3 linked regions of the Drosophila melanogaster genome follow. The protein of the gene in region 2 purifies or fractionates together with the protein of the main gene of each other region. This does not show direct contact. Each region holds a gene or a part of one and is shown on either strand. Other genes may lie near its edges. The genes, in order: Dera, Naa20A and CG15084.

Evidence for each region.
Region 1: the proteins of Naa20A (region 2) and Dera purify together in Drosophila melanogaster (affinity purification with mass spectrometry, with the first as the bait; one large-scale study listed by BioGRID). This does not show direct contact.
Region 3: the proteins of Naa20A (region 2) and CG15084 purify together in Drosophila melanogaster (affinity purification with mass spectrometry, with the first as the bait; one large-scale study listed by BioGRID). This does not show direct contact.

Annotation. Positions count from the first base shown.
Region 1 is NT_033778.4:12,423,429-12,427,256, forward strand, and holds Dera (Deoxyribose-phosphate aldolase), read left to right. Parts: upstream 1-2,054; 5' UTR 2,055-2,282; coding exon 2,283-2,334; intron 2,335-2,387; coding exon 2,388-2,971; intron 2,972-3,033; coding exon 3,034-3,441; 3' UTR 3,442-3,547; downstream 3,548-3,828. Other genes in the region: CG8520 (uncharacterized protein), read left to right, coding at 282-680, 738-1,340, 1,395-1,646, 1,701-1,823; CG13154 (uncharacterized protein), read right to left, coding at 3,550-3,828.
Region 2 is NC_004354.4:19,621,337-19,625,164, reverse strand, and holds Naa20A (N(alpha)-acetyltransferase 20 A), read left to right. Parts: upstream 1-2,090; 5' UTR 2,091-2,199; coding exon 2,200-2,252; intron 2,253-2,320; coding exon 2,321-2,436; intron 2,437-2,498; coding exon 2,499-2,628; intron 2,629-2,693; coding exon 2,694-2,830; intron 2,831-2,900; coding exon 2,901-2,962; coding exon of another isoform or gene 2,963-2,992; exon of another isoform or gene 2,993-3,397; intron 3,398-3,500; exon of another isoform or gene 3,501-3,514; coding exon 3,515-3,559; 3' UTR 3,560-3,714; downstream 3,715-3,828. Other genes in the region: MKP-4 (MAPK phosphatase 4), read right to left, coding at 534-637, 703-1,385, 1,451-1,550, 1,617-1,748, 1,811-1,955.
Region 3 is NT_033778.4:18,848,844-18,852,443, reverse strand, and holds CG15084 (uncharacterized protein), read right to left. Parts: upstream 1,601-3,600; 5' UTR 1,509-1,600; coding exon 558-1,508; 3' UTR 488-557; downstream 1-487. Other genes in the region: CG18190 (uncharacterized protein), read left to right, coding at 1-487; MetRS (Methionyl-tRNA synthetase), read left to right, coding at 1,954-2,056, 2,144-2,265, 2,344-3,179, 3,238-3,342, 3,399-3,600.

The sequences.
Region 1 (3,828 bases), on a different chromosome or scaffold from region 2:
ATTAATTTCTTACTGTCCATTTTTTGTTAGCAAATTTTAGCAATTTTAAATTTTAAAATGCGGTTGCTCAAAATAATCTGGCAGCTCTTGCAACCTTATGGCATCCGTGCGAACAGCTGTCAGATCAGCTGTTGTTGTTTCCAGCCCTGGTTTGGGAAAATTTCACGGCCAACAACCGAAATTCGCGGTCAAAATTCGCGGAAGTGAGGTCTCTAGTTTTATGTAATGTCTAGATGACGCGGATTTAGCTCCTAGTTAAGCGCTAATTGTGGCACTCTGCTATGTTCACCTACCAACTGGGGCTTGTGGTCCGCTGTGCGCGGCAGAAGCCGCTGCTCCTATGGGCGCCCGCCTGCCACATGAGCGGTCTCAGTCCGCTGAAGGAATATGAGAAGCGTGTTAGTTCTGGCCAACTGATGACCGACAACAGGCAGCTGCAGACGATGAAGGAGCTGGATGCGCTGTACCACAAGATTCAGGGGTATAAACCCAGCTACAGGGCGGGCGGTGGCGGCGGAGGATTCTTCAGTTCAATCTTTGGTAGGAAATCTTCCACCGAAGATGACGATCAGGATGATCCTAACGCTGGCAGTCACGCTCCTCAGGGTCTGTACCTGTACGGCAGCGTGGGTGTGGGCAAGACCACTCTGATGGACCTGTTCTTCGACTGCTGTACCCAAGTAAGTGATGAATGAGTATTTCTCGAGGCCCATATTCACATGACTTGTGACTTTCAGATTCATCGAAAGCAGCGCGTCCATTTTACTTCGTTCATGAACACCGTGCACACCCGCATCCACGAGGCCAAGCAGAGACAAGGACCTGTTGACCGTGCCTTTAATTCTGAAAAACCAGCACCATTTGATCCCACAAAACCGGTTGCTGACCTGATTGCCAGTGAGTCCTGGTTGATTTGCTTCGATGAATTTCAGGTGACGGACATAGCCGACGCCATGGTGCTAAAGAGATTGTTTACGCACCTTTTCCGCCATGGCATTGTGGTTGTGGCCACCAGCAATCGGCATCCAGAGGATCTGTACAAGAACGGACTGCAGCGCACGAACTTTCTGCCCTTCATTGCGTTACTTCAGCGTCGCTGTAAGGTGTCCCAGTTGGATTCTATTGACTACCGACGTATAGCCCAATCTGGTGACACCAACTACTTCGTCAAAGGCCAAACGGATGCGGACGGCAGTATGAATCGCATGTTCAAGATCCTGTGCGCCGAAGAAAACGATATTATCCGGCCGCGAACCCTGACTCATTTCGGAAGAGATCTGACCTTCAATCGCACGTGTGGCCAGGTACTGGACAGCACCTTCTCGGAACTCTGTGATCGCGTAAGCAAAGTATTAATACATAATCTTACCCATACTCAACATATTCCGCATTAGCCTTTGGCTGGCAGTGATTTCTTACAGATATCGCAATTCTTTCACACCGTCCTCATCCGAGATGTGCCCCAGCTGACCCTTGATGTGAAGGCACAGATGCGACGATTTATCACGCTCATAGATACCCTTTACAATAACCGAGTGCGTGTGGTGATATCATCCGACGTTGCGCTGGAAAACTTGTTCAGCTTTACTGGAGGTTCCAAAACTCTGTCCGATTCTGAGCGAACCCTAATGGACGATCTAAATATAGTAAGTTAGTAACTCATTCTTCTACCATTAAAATCAACACGTTTTTGTTTACAGAAAGAATCCAAAGCCAGTTTTTTCACCGGCGAGGAAGAGCTGTTCGCCTTTGATCGCACACTATCTCGACTCTATGAAATGCAGAAGAGGGAGTACTGGGAGCAGTGGGCCAAACATCGATGAAAACCCCTTGTCACAAAGCAGTAGTTCAATTAGCGCTATAAAAATTACATGTTTTCTACCTCGCTGACGCGGTATTTTAAAATTCACAATATCTTGTACTTACAAATTTCATATCGAAAATGCAATATTAAAATTAGGTGTATTTCGCAAGTATTAAGACAATAAAAAATAGACAAAGTTACCTAAGCGATTGGCTTTATTAAACAGCAAGCTGTGGAGTTTTACATAACAAATTTACTTATTGTTAATATCGGTGATCTTTTAACGGAATCCATCTCATAAATTATCAGTTAATGCGAACGGTCTGGCAACGTCGTCATCAGCTGTCCAACAAGCAAATTGATAAGACTCTCCATGTTCTTCGGTTGAGGTTGAGTAGAAGATTAGAGGTCAAGATCGGCGATCGAACGATTTTATCTTCAAGTGGAATTTAGTCAGCTAAATTTTCGTTTGACAGCAATGAGCAGCATGGATGTGAAGGAATTGGAAGTAAACAAAACCCTGCCCTATGGTAAGAATTCGCACAATAGTACGAATTTAAATATATACATATATATTTCGCAGATCCCTCCCTGCTTAAGGTAAACATCTCGCTGCGGCAGGTCGAGGAGATCGCTTTGACGGTGTCCCAGCGATGCCATGTCACCGGAGCCAACGAAATCGCCTGGGCGCTGAGGGCTCTGATGCTGACAGATCTTACCACCTTGGCGGGCGATGATACGGCTGCCAATGTGCGGAGACTATGCCTACGCGCCTGCTATCCCTTCGAGCCGCAGTTCTTTGACAAGTTCTTCGACCGGGCTCTCATCCCAGAGATGCACACGGCCGCCGTTTGCGTTTATCCCGCCAGGGTAAAGGACGCCTATTTAGCTATCCAACAGTACGACAAACTGGATAAGGTGGCTATTGCAGCGGTGGCCACGGGATTTCCCACGGGCCAGTACGGCCTGCAGACCCGCCTGCAGGAGATCAGCCACGCCATTCTTGCTGGAGCCACAGAGATCGACATTGTGATCAATCGCCAGTTGGCCCTCGTTGGCGACTGGGAGGCCATGTACAACGAGGTGGTCCTTATGCGCAGTGCCTGTGGACAAAGGGCTCACCTAAAAACAATTCTGGCCATCGGGGAGCTGGGCACCATGGATAATGTGAGATCAATATCGCCTAATCCCTATACTAAAATACCATTCAAATCCATTAATTTCTTTAGGTTTACAAAGCAGCCATGGTTTGCATGATGGCCGGAGCGGATTTTATCAAGACCTCAACGGGAAAGGAGACAGTCAACGCCACCCTGCCCGTTGGCCTGGTCATGATATTTGCCATTCAGGAATTCAAACGACGCACGTGCCAGATTGTGGGCCTTAAGCCAGCCGGAGGAGTAAAGACTGTACGAGATGCGATCGCCTGGATGACGTTGGTCAACGAAACTCTTGGCATCCGCTGGTTGCGTCCCGAGAGGTTCCGTTTCGGAGCCTCCGGATTGCTGGACGACATTGAACGCGTTGTGCGTCAGGGTGTCAAAAAACTCGAGGAGGATGAGGCTCAGAAAAATGTGCCCGTGTCTCGCGAGGCTGCTGCTGCCGAGACCTTCTGCAAGGAGCTGCGGAAGAAGTAGGAGGAGGCCAACTGGTCGAATCCGTATTCTGGACTTTACTCACTCTAAGTGCATTTATTGTAGCTTTTTTATACAACTGACTAAAACCTATAGCAAAAAAAACCGCATCTATGTTCGACGTTCTTCCTGGACGGGAGACTTGAAGTTAAAGGCTAACTGCGCAGGAGCCGCCATCAAATCTTCCTCGGCCTGCTCTTCGCCATGCTGCAAGAGCTCTGTGGGCGCAGCTGGCTCCTTGTGGGGCTGATTATCCGGAATCTTTACCTGCATGTCCACCGCAAAGAAGGAGTCGTCGAAGTTTATTCGGTTGCGCTCGTCCTGCTCCAGATACATGGCTTTGGGCGCAGTTGCTCCGCCCATGGCCCTCTCGTAGGTGTTAAGCCACTT
Region 2 (3,828 bases):
CTTTTGGGGATTCACATATCAATGTTGCGATCGGATGAGATACTCTGTGATTATTTCTTATTCTTAAGAATTGAGTAAATATTTACTGACTGACCAAATGGAATCCGAAGTTAGTTTGTGATTAAATTACGTTTGCTTCGCGCGGAAGTTTTGATATTGTAAACCTGGCAATCAGTTTATATCCGATACGAGATCGGATTCCCAAGAGGGAACTAACTAAGCTAACTGCTTGCGTTTCAAAAATCTCAGCTTGGTGGAGGAGCTATTCAGCAATGGGACCAATTAACTTATGTTTCAACAGCGTAACCGAAGCCCAACTTCTCCAATGACCCATAGAAACATAACTTAATGCCCATATATGTATATATGTAGGACATCAATGTTGGCCAGCACTGATAAGCACTGATCAATCAATCCAAGCCTCCATTGCTTTTTGTTTAGGTGGGCGATTGCCGTTCTTTGCCAGCCGACAAGGGAGTCCAATTGTCCCGTCTCTGATGATGCCATCTCGCTCTATTTCCAGCACGCTGCACCTAAACCGTGGTCTGCACGTTCTGCACGGCCTTCGAGAGCTCCACCTTGGAAGGTATCAGATAAAATGCAGGCGTCATCGTCTCCCCGCACGGACACTTGCAGGCTGCAATAAATTAGGAGGAATGAGTGGGGGGCGGGATTATCGGCTGGTGGAGCAGCATAGCCAACCGTTGATCCAGCTAAAGTTTCCCAATTTCTGCTCGCACTTGGGACAGTACAGGCGGCCCTGGGTGTTCAGCATGATGCGGTGCATCCAGGCGATGGGCTCCACAAACAGTATGCTGCGGCAATAGTTTGGCGTGCTTTCGTGGCCGGGTGAACCGAGTGATGACTGGCGGATGCGCTCGGACAGCTGCTCCAGCATGCGAGCACCATGATGATTTTCGGCCTGATCATGTGACTGAGCCGGCAGCTTAGCTGCAGCGACTTCTTCTTTCTCCTTGGGTACCACCTCCTGCGGCGGCCTGTCACGCGGCTTGTGCTCCAGTACATGCGACTTGGAGGCGAGGACGCGGCGGCAACGACGACAGCGGAACACTATGGGCTCCGGGTTCTCGCGCGTTATATCTGGATCCGGACGGACCACGCTGTGGAAGCTTTGCGGCAGGATCTTGGCCTTGCGCATCTGCTCGCCAGCCAGGCGCAGGCGATGGATCTTGTAGCGCTGGCAGTTGGGGTCAATCTTGCAGCCCATGCGCCGGAAGAGCTTTAGTTGGCTGACAAAGCCAGCGTTTGGCTGGACGAAGCGCCGTTTGGCCTTGACCAGCTCGTAGGCGGGCAGGAAGTCCAGATTGTGTCGCTTCATCATGTAAGCGATCACAGTGGATGAGCTGCGACTGACGCCGAAGTAGCTGTTGGAAGGCACAAAGAGTCAGTGGCCAAATCGTGGGCCGGTCAGCCTAGGTAAGATGCTCACCAGTGCACAAGGACATTGCCCTGCTGGGCCAGGGCCGAGCTGATAAAGTCAACGCAGCCCTCCAGATGCTGCAGAATATCTTCGCGCGGCATGTCGGCAACTGAAACAGGGATTAACGCCAGTGAAGTTGTTGCACATTCACGAAGCTACCGATCTGTGTGCTTACTCTGTATATATTTGGTGGTCAGAAAGCTGGCCTCCAGAATGTGCTGCGGCAGCGGGACCGAATCCAGCGTGAGGATGTGGGTGATCTTGAAGGAGCGCAGCGTCTCCATGTGCGTCGCCGCGGTCAGGTTGCCTGGTGGTGTAAGGAAGGGTTGAGAAATGCATCGATCACAAGGATTAGAGCTATATGCTTACCTAGAAACAGGCCTGTGTCCACCTCGTCGATGCTGACCGGTCCGCCGTCGAAGTCCTCGCGCGTCAGCACCCCGGAGTCCTGGGCCTTGCCACCCCCCGCGGAGGACGAAGGCCACGCCTGCCGTTGAGACTGAGACTGTTCCATGGCCAGGCAACAGATACCAGCTGGAGGCAGAGGAAGAAGAAGAGCGAGGACAGGACCTAGCGTGGAAATGGAAGTGCTAGTAGTGTGACCGCGGCTGCATTGCGCGGTAACCGATTTGTGGGAAAGCTCGCTTCCAGGCTATCGATAACTTGCCATCGACCGCGGCGCATCTCTATTGCCGGCGAGTATAGCAATTTTATAGGAGCAATAAAAAGGATCGGATTAGCCGAGATTAAGTGATAAGATGACCACGTTGCGACCCTTCACCTGCGACGACCTCTTTAAGTTCAACAATGTGTGAGTACAGTGGATATCCACATGCGCATATCCGAGGCTAATACCAATACCGCCGTGTGCTCCGCCAGAAACTTTGACCCACTTACGGAGACCTACGGGCTGTCCTTCTACACCCAGTACCTGGCCAAGTGGCCGGAGTACTTTCAGCTTGCGGAGTCGCCCAGCGGACAAATAATGGGCTACAGTAAGTACTGCATTTCACTGTGTGCACGAGTTCCCCTATCAAGTGTGCTCTACATTCTCTAGTCATGGGCAAGGTGGAGGGACACCTGGACAACTGGCACGGACACGTGACTGCGCTGACCGTCTCGCCCGACTACCGGCGCCTTGGTCTGGCTGCGCTGCTCATGAGTTTCCTGGAGGACATTTCGGAGAAGTAATTCCAGCCCCAATTCGTTGGATATCAATACAGACTAAACGACTACTTTTTCTCGCCCCCAGAAAGCGAGCATACTTTGTGGATCTTTTTGTGAGGAAGAGCAACCAGGTGGCAATAAACATGTACACGAACCTTGGCTACATCATATACCGCACCATACTTGAGTACTACTCCGGCGACCAGGACGAGGATGCGTACGGTGAGAGCGCACAGAATTTGCATTGACTTCTAAGAGGCGCCTAACAATCGATGCTTTACCCACTTTGCAGACATGAGAAAGGCCTTATCCAGGGACGTCAACAAAAAGTCGGTCATACCGTACACGCAGCCTGTACGACTGGAACATATAGATATGAATTGATACGATATCAACCCAGTAGCGCCCGAAAACGCATTTATGTCTAACTAATCCCGATCCACCATTTGAAATGGGCGCGAGCGCATCACTTCGCAGCCCATTGAATTCTAGTTAATTTAGCAATGTAAATAACCCATAATCCCGTGATCTGCCCGGTGATAACATGCGATTCGATTATGACCGGATTCCCATCCCGCTTGCGAACCAATCCCCCGGCGCCAGTATTTGCGTGCATTATTTCCCAACCGAAACTAAGCCTGTAATTAAGTTACATGACCGCTCCGTTACCAAATTCAGCACAAATTCTCGATAATTCTATTGACTTTGAAATTATTTAAAGATTTCGTAAGCCGATGCGTAAATAACCACAAACACAAAGATTGTTCCACAGTTCTGAAGGTAAATAACGTAAGCAACTTGATTACTTCATCATCGTAAATGACAACCAGTATCTAACGCCAACGCTATGACCACCCATCTAGCCCGCACACGATCCTCTGACCATATCCAGTTTTTTTTTTGCAGATCACAATGCGCGAGCTGCGCAGACAAATGCGACACGATCACTAAGTGGAACGATTCGCGGCGGATGTGGGCATAGCCACAGCCATCGCCATCGCCATCGCCATGTGCTTTATCGACCGATTCCCATTTACTAATGTGCTGCTGCATAGAAAACCATTTTGAGAATAAAAAGAAAATAAACCCCCTGGCATATAAAGTTCAATCTGTATTTGATTGATTGATTGGAGGAAAGCTGACTTTCAACACACCTTATAATAATGTCCTTGTGGTGATGTCCTTTTTTTTAGTGCTAGCAGAAGGATAGAAAAGTTTTC
Region 3 (3,600 bases), on a different chromosome or scaffold from region 2:
CTTGAAGCTGGACAAAACGGTACCAATCGATCGACTGATCAAGGGTCGCTTCCAGGACAACTTTGAGTTCCTGCAGTGGTTCAAGAAGTTCTTCGACTCGCAGGCTCCGGGCTTGGAGAACATTAAGTCGCTGGCCAATGCGCCGTTGGCAAAGCCCATAAAGCCGCGCCAATTCGCCAAGGAGCGATCACCAGTCAACGCCAATGATGATGCGCTCAAAGAGCTGATTGATGAAATGAAGAACCTAAGCCTGAAGCGGGAGGACATCATGGAGGCCAGCAATCAGATCTACAACAAACTGCGCCTGGTCGAGGATTTGGTCAACGACATGATCAACAACAACCAGCTAGTTGAGTTGTGCAAACGCATTCAAGCGGTGCTCTACAAAACGATAGATGGTGAAATCAACGAGGAACCCGTCGAGGTTAATGAGGATAATGGTGATGAAGGCGCCGAACACGCGGATCCCAATGACGGATTATATTAGAATTCTTTTTATTTGTACTTATTTTGTTTTATACAATCATTTAATTATTTATAAAGAAAGCATTATAAAATCAGCCGTTGGAATCATTGTCTGAGGAGGAGTAATCCCCCACTAAGCTTATGGGTTTTTCGTTCGTGGCTGAAGATGTAGTTTCTTCCAACTTTTTACGCCGTATGCCAAGATCCTGTACTTGGAGCTGGGTATTCAGAACCTTTTGTCGCTTGAGTCCACCAAATGTGGTGACTGTTGCTCCGGGAAGCGCTGGACGCATAAGCAGCTCCAACCGCTGCTCGGATTCCCGTTCCAGAGCTGACTTCGTCTGCAACTTCATCAGGGCTGCCATTTCGCGATCTTGTGTGGTCTCCGGAAGGAGAGCAATGTCCAAGCTGCTCTTGGCCAACAACTGTCGATCCAGCTCCTGCTGACCATTGATCTCTTTCTTCTGCTGGCGAAACTCGGCGCGTAGGCGACTATTGGCCATATAGCTGTCATCCCAGACGCTCATGTTGCGCTCCACTAGTTTCTGGAGCACGGGCCTGGCATCTGCCCCTGCCTTAGCATCCTTGGCTTGATGCTCCAACTTGTACATGGCATCGTCGAAGAGACGCTTTTGTACCTCCTTGGTTTCCGGTACAACTTGTTCGTTCTGCAAGGGATCCCAGCGGTTCTCCTGCCGTCTAGCCCCCGAAAGTATAACATAGTCCAAATTGCCGGGATCCGTCTGGATCTCAAAGTGGTTGTCGCACAAGTGGCACTTCATCCGGAACTTAAAAACCGGCGTAGTGTAGTACATGCCCACCTTGGTCTTCTCCGCATTGTAGCGCACGCCCATGCCGATGTGGTTCTTGCATCCATCACACCAGATATTGTAGGGCATCTCAAAGCGGATGATGATGATTCCCAGGTGAATCTTGCGGGCCCGTTCCCGCAGGGCGTGGGTTCCCTGGAACTTGTTGAGACCGCCCTTCTTCGGATCATAGTCGGGCGGATAGTACTTGTTCTGTCCCTTGCGTTCACCCATTTTTTAAGTGGATAGGATTACTTAAATATTTAAACTAATTACAAGCTCAATCTTTTGCTGTCAAATGTAAATAAACATTTCTGCTTTTTTTAAATCAGCTGTTTCGGGTCGCTGGTGATGACATTATCGGTGGTGCGGAAAACGCTAAAAATAGCCAGAAAATCATATATGAATTAGTCTTGTTATTATTAGTCATATTACAATTAATATGTAATAAATATGACCTACTATATTACCTGTTACTTTAATGCCAACTGTTTATTTCAAATTATTTGACATATAAAATAAATAAGTAATCGATAACATCACCGACGGCGTGACAGCTTTTCCATCTGTCCCATCACCAAAATAATAGTTTCTCGTGGGCATCGTCAAAACTTTGGTTGGATTTTTAACCCTTTTTGCCACGTAAATTGAATTAGAATTAGCGTCCGATCCAGGCAAAATGATAATCTACACGAATGATGGCAACCCGCTGGGACTGCAGCTGCTAATGCTCGCCAAATTTGCCAAGCAGCCGGTGCAGGTGCAGTTGGTTAACCTAAATGGTGAGTTCTGCCACGGATTCCCTTCGAATTCTGGGGAATGCTCTGAAAATGACTCATTTCTGATGCAATAACTATTGTTAATTGCAGACGCTAAGTACAAGGACTTGCTGGTGCTGCCCACTTTGGAGCTGGACAACGGATTGCGTTTGTTCTCGCCGGCGGCCATTGCCAAGTACCTTTTCGTGGGCAAGGGGCAGCAGCGCGATGAGGTATGGGTTCCGAAAATTACTTATTGGCCCATTGACCCCTGAAGGTTAAACTAATTCCCGTATGTGCTCTCTCCCTAGTGGCTGGAATGGTCTGCCACGTTGCTGGCCCCGGCTTTGGCCCACCACATGGCTGTGGGCCACAAGGCAGATGCAAACGCGCTGCCCGTGCTGAATGCTCTGGTCAAGAAGCTGGATGACAAACTGAAAGCTACCCCCTACCTGGCTGGCGACAAACCCAGTGCCGCCGACATCGCCATTTGGTCGCTCCTTGCTCCCGATGGCACTCTCAAGGGAGCACAGAACGTGGACAACTTGAGGGATTGGTATGGCAGGGTGAAAGCGCTTCCCGAAGTTCAGGAAGTTCTTGCCGAACAGCCACTAAAGGATCTAAGCTTTAATGCTCTGCAGCAGTCAAATCGCTATGGAGGTTTGCATCATGTACCATTAAAACGTCTCAGCCTGGCGGATGCAAGCAAACTTCTTGTGGATACCACGCCAACGGTGGCGGATACTGTTACGAATGAGGAAATAAGCGCGGCGAAGGCTGCCTTTACCTACACAGCTCCAAAGGAAATCAAGGAGGAGCGAACTGTTCTTCCCAAGCCCGGTGAGCGTAACGTGCTCATCACCTCGGCGCTTCCCTATGTCAACAATGTGCCACATTTGGGCAACATCATTGGTTGTGTTCTCTCTGCGGATATCTATGCTCGTTACTCGCGTTCTGCTGGCTACAACACACTCTTGATTTGCGGCACGGATGAGTACGGTACGGCCACCGAGAACAAGGCACTGGCAGAGAACCTTACTCCCCGTGAGATCTGCGACAAGTACTTCGAACTGCACAACGCCATTTACCGCTGGTTCGGCATTGGCTTTGATTACTTTGGACGCACCACAACCCAAGAGCAAACAGAGTAAGTTTTGGCTGCTTAAGCAATGATATCCTTATCAAAAAACGCTTGTTTTTTACAGCATTGTCCAGGAGGCATTTAAGGATGTCCTCAAAGCTGGCTATATCATCACAGAGAGCGTGGAGCAGTTGCTTTGCCAAAAGTGTGATCGTTTTCTGGCTGATCGGTGGGTATTTCTGGTACACTATTTCAAGCTCCAACTTACCCATTATTCTGCTATAGTTTTGTCGAGGGTACTTGCCCGCATCCTGGTTGCGGCTATGAAGATGCCCGCGGTGATCAGTGCGACAAGTGCGGAAAGTTGGTCAACGCCACTGAGCTGATCCGTCCCAGATGTAAGGTGTGCAACAGTGCCCCAGTCCTGCGTTCCTCCGATCAGTTGTTCATCGATTTGCCAAAGGCGGAACCACAACTCAAGGAGTGG